2 linked regions of the Schizosaccharomyces pombe genome follow. Changing the gene in region 1 together with any one later gene gives a genetic interaction. Each region holds a gene or a part of one and is shown in the gene's direction. Other genes may lie near its edges.

Region 1 (3,820 bases):
CCGTATTCACCCAAAACTGAAAACCCTAAATTTGATTTTCAAAGAAAAAGAAAGTGAGAGAGAAAAAGGATGGTCACTAATTTTGCAAAGAAGTAACCACTGTAAATATTTACGCTTTCAAACCCAGCTTCGAGAAGTAATAAGTTATGAACAGCAATTCAAAAGGACTTCAGGAATATGATTATGATGATGCTTTCAGAGATACAATGAAATTTTGTTTTGTATAGAAAGCAAAAAAAAGAATTTAACTTATTTCAATGACAAAATCAAGGAATCTGGGTTAGCGGTATATTGTTGAAAGAGACGGAGGTTGAGCTAGAGGTATAAGTGTAAACACCAACTTGATCAATTTACGTACTTTGGTTTCAGTACTTTACGAGAAATCAATTTTTAATAAGGTGAAAAATAAAGCATCTACTATTTGCTTGTGTAAACCTAAAAAAAAAATAGTTTTTTTTGGTATCTTTCAGTCATATTTATTTTTGCTAGATTAATCATAGTAAAATACTTAACCATATGTGATTGCCAAAATGCATAGCTGCACCTCACCTTAAAAAAATCTAGGTAATCTAATTAGCATGCAACTACGAGTTAATGTTTTTTAAAAAGTAGATAAATTACAACGAAGGTTAGTAGGTGAAGCAATAAATAGTATGTTTAATCGTCACTCGTATTAGCAAATTCATTCGTCTTAGAATTTTATTTTCCTCCACGAAAATATATATATTTTTCTTTGAACGTTTAAATTATTATAAACAATTGCTTTCTCTGAAATTTATGCCCATTTACAATTTAATTCTGTTTATGGAATCTACATATTCGTTCAAGTATATATGAAATACATTTTAAGGAATCTTTTTTTATTAGATTCTTCGTATAATTTCTAAAATACATACTATTTTCATATACGAGTTTAGATAAATTACAAAAAAAAAAAAAAAAAAAAACGATTAAACTATAGGTTAAAAAGTAAATCTATTAGTTTATAACAAAAGAAACGTCTTTGTTTTATTTTAGTTTATTTTTTTACATCTAAAAAGTTATTGAAATCAACAATGGTAAAGTTGAACAAATTAACTCTTCAATTCATAGGTATGAGAAACCGTTCTTCATTAGTAAATCCAAGTATGAAACATAATCATGTTTTTACCCCTATGCGATCGCGCTATTCATATTTTTCCTAAATTATTTTTAGCATCAATTCTGTCTATAGTTTCATATAATTTCAGTGATTTAATCATGTAATTATTCATGTAAAGTTCATAAAAAATATAGGTTGATGATCTTATTAATGTTTGTACTTAAGAAATGGTAAATCGAACAAGTTGAAAAAGTAAGCATGGCATCTGTCTTATACTCTTGTGCTTTTCTGTAAACCAAGCAGTTAAAAACATTATTGCTTGCTAGTAGCGAAGCAACTTACAAACATTTCTCATAGACGAGAAGTAACTCCATTTTTCAGATAGTCTAATAATAAGTCAAAGAAAAGGATGTTTAACATCATCCTAATCAAATTCATATAAAACTAATAATTGTTTTCCATCGAAGGAATCTATATATCGCACTACAAGGTGCAGTAACGAAACACTCAGATCGTGGAATCCGGATTGTGTTCTTAACCTTACGAGAAAAACGAGCCATTACGGTCGTGACTGTCCAGAAATCGTTCGATTTTTAAATATCTGAATTTAGTCTATTTTTTGATATAAATCCCCCTAATCCCATTCGCTGCTGGCACAGTGTTTTTGTGAAAACAAAACAACCAAGTTGTAAATTTAATTCGCAAGTTGAACAGTGTTTTGATTCTTCACTTGTGTTAATACCAATTCATCCAATCGGTTGTATCATATCTTAAATACCATTTTGGTTACTTTTTTTTTTGGACATTTTGAGCAAATCCGTAAAGTAAATAAAAAGATGTCTGACATTACCGTTGAGCCTATTGGCAAGCAGATGGAGAAGCTTATTCTCGATGTTCAGCAAGAAATTGTTGCTGGTCTCGAAGCTGTCGATGGACAAAAATTCTTCCAAGACAAGTGGACCAAGGGAGAAGGTGGTTATGGTATCAGTTGTGTTATTCAAGATGGCAACGTTTTTGAAAAGGGTGGTGTCAACACAAGTATTGTTCAAGGAAAATTGAATCAAGACGCTGTCCAAAGAATGCGTGCTAATCATGAAGGTATTGATCGTACTGCCAAAGAGCTTCCATTCTTTGCTGCTGGTATCAGTATGGTTATTCACCCTCGCAACCCCATGGCCCCTACTACTCACTTGAACTATCGTTACTTTGAACTTGTAAACAGTGATGGTAAGAAGATTTGGTGGTTTGGTGGTGGAGCCGATTTGACTCCTAGCATTCTCTTTGAAGAAGATGGCAAGCATTTCCACAAATTGCATAAAGAAGCTTGCGATCGCCATGACCCCACTTTCTATCCTCGCTTCAAGAAATGGGCTGATGAATACTTCCTCATCAAGCACAGAAAGGAGACTCGTGGCATTGGCGGTATTTTCTTTGATGATCTTTCTGAGAAAGATCCTCAAGAGTTATTTGCTTTCGTCAAGGATTGTGCCCATACCTTCCTTCCTGCCTATGTCCCTATTATGGAAAAGAGAAAGAACATGGAATTCACTGAAGATGATAAGGAATTCCAACTCATTCGTCGTGGATACTATGCCGAGTTTAACGTTATGTATGACAGAGGTACTTGGTTTGGTCTTCAAGCTCCTGAACCCCGTGTTGAATCTATTCTTATGACCCTTCCATTACATGCTTCCTGGCGTTACAAGTATGAGCCTAAACAAGAGCGTCACAAGGCTCTCCTTAAAGTAACGCATACCCCTATTGAATGGTGCTAGAAAGATTCACAAAAATGACTTTTACTTCAGCATTTAATGAACATCACAATTTTTGGTAATAGCTTTATTCTTTCGTTTGTTTTTAAACTATGCCATGTTACACTAACTCATGTTAAATTTTCTATCATGCCTTTTTTGCTCTTCATTATTTGGAATTCTTAACTGTTTGAATTTGCGATTTTGAATCCCTTTTCTAAGCTAATGAAACAATATTTTACCCTTTAAAAATCCGTATCTTTTATTGAGTAGTGTTTTATAAAGAGTTTTAAAGTAAAGTACAGTACCTATTTGGCTTGAGATCTAATTTCACAATATAAATTTCAACTGATCTGCACTTTCATTAACTTAATTTCAATGTATTTTTCTTTAAAATAATACGAATAAAAAAAAAGAAGATGAAGGTAAAATGTGTGTGTCTTGTCTTTATGATAAAACGACGTCGATCCCCAACGGATTGAGATAGACAAGTCATAAAACGTTAGCATCGGTACAAATTTTACAGTCGCTCTTTTCTTTCATTTGTATCTAATTCCCTTTTACACTCAAATACAGTGGGCCGATTGGGATCTGCTGATAAAGTGCAAATGAACCTGTTGGTTAATATCAAACTCACAGTAAGTGTATATAGGATAATAATCTAACAATCTCCCATCTTACGTACCCTAAAGATTGCATAGTAGCAAACAATTTTGTCTCCGCTGCAGCCAATTCAATGCAGGAGATATCCCCTGACTCCGTTTGTTGGCAAACTCGTTCAGTTTGATTGTTTAGACTTTCAAAGAAGACCTTCTGTTCTTTGGTTGAATCCTTCAAAAATTCTTGTACTTTTTCTTCCATTATGCTCTTTCAGAGGAAGATTCAGTCGTACTGCTATATCTAATAAGTTGAAGTCAGGCTAACGCTGTTTAAGAGCTGCATGTCATGAGTATTGCTGAGTAACTTTAACACGCTTGTAGACAGATAT
Region 2 (3,929 bases), 390 kb from region 1:
GCAGATCGTCCAAATCCTCTGGAATGCTGCAATACTCACGAATTTGATTGGTATCGGCACCCATGTCTCGACAAAAAGCTATCAAAGTATGGATTTGATCGGTCCACAAATTGGCAGCTTCCATGTACTTTTTAGTATTCTCATTTTTTAATTCAAAGGTTTCAGGATTACAGTGATTTAAATTTGAAAGTTGTGTTTTAAGAAGTTTTAGTTCTGATTCTTTTGCATGTAGCAGTTCCAAAGTGTATTGATTGGCATCATTTTCGGTTCCTTCGTTATCCCTTTTGGATTTCTCGAAACTAATGTTTTCATCTAAAGTTTTAGATTTTTGTTTCAAATCATCAAGTTGAGCTTGAAGAGATCCGAGAACTGACTCTCTTGAACGTTTAGCATCGGAGGGAAAAGACCAGTAGTAATTGCTAGTGCCAATCTTTTCCGTTTTGACGATATTGTCGTCAACGAGAGACTGTAAAACGTCCTTTACAGTTTGCAAAACGATTTGCTTTTTAGAGCCCAGCTTTTCCACCTCCTTTAGTTGAAAAAAATCTTTCTATAAAAAAAACATAGATTAGCAATGTGGAAAGTGAGACACGAATGGGCAAAAATCATGTTTTGGCACTTGAACAATCATATCACGAACTTACAGAGTCATGGAAAATGGCCTCTAATCTTCTTCTTTTCTCTGCAAGCGATAGTCCCTTGGGAGGCATTGTTTAAAAATTTATTAATTAGTTTGAACAAATATGGAGTTTAAAAGTTTGTTGTGATGCAAGAAGTAGATGCTTTCTAATCTTTTGGAGAAATGAGAGTTTAGATCCCAAACATTTACTGAATGATAACGTAGTCTGCTAAAATGCACATCCGCACTTTCCAACTATGATATATACCCTATAATGTCTTACTATCGTATTGCAACATAATGCAATGCAAAACGTTATTCAGCTATCCTAATCTTTTTGACCCTTGAGGAAATTAAGGAATTAAGTGAATGGGGTTGGCTATTGTCGCACAAAAACATGTGAGGAAAACTTCCTTTTGCCACGAAATCGAAAAGACTCGAATACTGATAGCAGCATGATTTTTTTTTTCTCAAGAGCTTTTGTCGGCGCTCACCTTACTGTACGAATTCGGTTTTACAACCTTTTATTTATTTTTCACTTTATTATTTTCACACAGCGAATTTCAAGCAAACACTGACTGACTAACACATTTCCACATACACACACACACACACATAGCATTCATAAGAGCAACGATGTTTAATGTCAGCGCAAACAAAATGTGTATTGACTTTTGATAAGAGATACTCAGTCAATTTGTCTACTAATTTCAACTATGGCTGGGTATTAACCGGTGTGCCATGTTCGCAGCTAAATGTGTTTTAATCTAGATTAGAATATGGGAGTAAGTGACAAACTTTGGGAACCGCTTTCCCATGGGTAAAAACAGGTGTGAAAAGGATTATTGTTTTTATTACTAAACAATCGTATGCAAAGTCATGCGACCAAAAAGAGCGAGTTAGTTAGGTCATTAGATAAGCTTTTGGATGTTCGTAAGCTAAACGACTTGTCGAGCTAAAGTTGTTCGAATCCAATTACATGTTTGGAGAAGACGTATAAGGAGGCACGGTTGGTGGTTTACCGAACAAATAGTAGAAGGTATAGTAGACGTGCACATGTTGACACATTTTTATTTTTAGGTGATAAAGTAGGGTAGAAGCAAGTAGTTTGTTAAATGTGCGTTACGAGCTACGGTAAACATGTGTATTATCTCGGTCCAATGGACGTGCCATCGTTCGATCGCAACATAAGCCCCGCAGTCATTCACCTCACAAACCCTCGAATCGTACGATGTCGCCCTATTCTCAGGTAACAAAATTGGATTTCTCATTGGCTTAGTGGCTAATTCACCTTGACCAGAAAGAACAATAAGGTAGTATCTGAAAAATATGATTGGATAAAAAAGTGTAATTTTGAAGTGATCAAGTAGCATGTTTTTTTACGGATTTTCAGCATAAACAAACGGTTACACGGCCATTATGTTGCATATATAATTCTACCAACTCCCATCAGTCAGCGCGAGACCCAAGTTAGCTTGAATCGTCGTCGAAACCAGCGTATTTGGTGTCAAAGAGAAGATAAATCGATTCTTCACTTGTAGAAGTACCTTAAAAAAGACAAGATCTAAAATTTCTGTATCGATCGTTGTTTTTGAAAATTGTCTTTTCAAAATCCCAATCTCATTCGTTAAGTGAAAGGAAACGTAATTTTTTTTTGTTTTTCTTTCATATTATTGTCTGTTTTCGATTTCGTTTTTAACGCTTTTTTCTATTTGTTTCATTCGTTGTTCTCGTAGCTGCGTGTTAATCAATTCATTTTTTCTTTCTCCTTTTCTTTTTCAAGTTTATTTGCATTAGCTCAAAGGGTTGAACTATTTTTATCTGTTACACATTTGTTGTTGTTGTCGTTGTTTTTTGGTTGGTCTTATTCGTTTTTGGTTGCTATCTGCTTACCCCTTACTACTTTACTGACTGATTTTATTTTTTTCGTCTGATTATTTTTTACCTGCTTTACCCACTTGAGCATTACTTTTTTTTTCATAAGTCAGGATGGCATTCTCTTTAGTTTCGATTTTATTATCGATTGCATTGGCTTGGTATGTTGGTTATATTATTAACCAACTTACCTCTCGCAATAGCAAACGCCCCCCAATTGTCTTCCATTGGATACCCTTTGTAGGTTCTGCTGTCGCATACGGTATGGACCCTTATGTATTTTTTCGCGAGTGTCGTGCCAAATATGGTGATGTTTTCACCTTTGTTTGCATGGGTCGTAAAATGACCGCTTTCCTTGGTGTCCAAGGTAATGATTTCCTCTTTAACGGTAAATTAGCTGATTTGAATGCTGAAGAAGCTTACTCTCATTTAACTACCCCTGTATTCGGTAAAGATGTCGTTTACGATATTCCCAACCATGTTTTTATGGAGCACAAGAAGTTTATCAAATCTGGTCTTGGCTTCTCTCAATTCCGCTCTTATGTCCCCCTCATTCTTAACGAAATGGATGCTTTTCTCAGCACTTCTCCTGACTTCGGACCTGGTAAGGAAGGCGTTGCTGATTTGCTGAAGACCATGCCTGTCATGACTATTTACACTGCTTCTCGTACTTTACAAGGTGCTGAGGTTCGCAAGGGCTTTGACGCTGGTTTCGCTGACTTGTACCATGACCTTGATCAAGGATTTAGCCCTGTTAACTTTGTTTTCCCTTGGTTACCTCTCCCTAGAAACAGACGCCGTGATAGAGCCCACAAAATTATGCAAAAAACTTATCTTAAAATTATTAAAGATCGTCGCTCTAGCACTGAAAATCCTGGTACTGATATGATTTGGACTTTGATGAGCTGCAAGTATAGAGATGGCCGTCCTTTGAAGGAACATGAAATTGCTGGTATGATGATTGCACTTTTGATGGCTGGTCAACACACCTCTGCTGCCACTATCGTTTGGGTTCTTGCTCTTTTGGGTAGCAAACCTGAAATCATTGAAATGTTGTGGGAAGAGCAGAAGCGTGTTGTAGGTGAAAACTTGGAATTGAAGTTTGACCAATATAAGGACATGCCTCTTCTCAACTATGTTATTCAAGAAACTCTTAGACTCCATCCCCCTATCCACAGTCATATGCGTAAAGTCAAACGTGACTTACCCGTCCCTGGTTCAAAGATTGTTATCCCTGCCAACAACTATCTTCTTGCTGCTCCCGGTTTAACTGCTACTGAAGAGGAATACTTCACTCATGCTACTGACTTTGACCCCAAGCGCTGGAATGACCGCGTCAATGAAGACGAAAATGCTGAGCAAATTGATTATGGTTATGGTCTCGTTACAAAGGGTGCTGCTTCTCCATACCTACCCTTTGGAGCTGGTCGTCATC

Evidence for each region.
Region 2: of hem13 (region 1) and erg11, changing one suppresses a phenotype caused by changing the other (phenotypic suppression), as found in Schizosaccharomyces pombe (one study listed by BioGRID).

Annotation. Positions count from the first base shown.
Region 1 is NC_003424.3:964,513-968,332, forward strand, and holds hem13 (coproporphyrinogen III oxidase), read left to right. Parts: upstream 1-1,623; 5' UTR 1,624-1,917; coding exon 1,918-2,856; 3' UTR 2,857-3,079; downstream 3,080-3,820. Other genes in the region: SPOM_SPAC222.17 (uncharacterized protein), read right to left, coding at 3,353-3,446, 3,518-3,693.
Region 2 is NC_003424.3:575,302-579,230, reverse strand, and holds the start of erg11 (sterol 14-demethylase), read left to right. Parts: upstream 1-2,077; 5' UTR 2,078-2,608; coding exon 2,609-3,929. Other genes in the region: protein Mcp7, read right to left, coding at 1-550, 645-710. UniProt on the Schizosaccharomyces pombe protein: Sterol 14alpha-demethylase that plays a critical role in the third module of ergosterol biosynthesis pathway, being ergosterol the major sterol component in fungal membranes that participates in a variety of functions.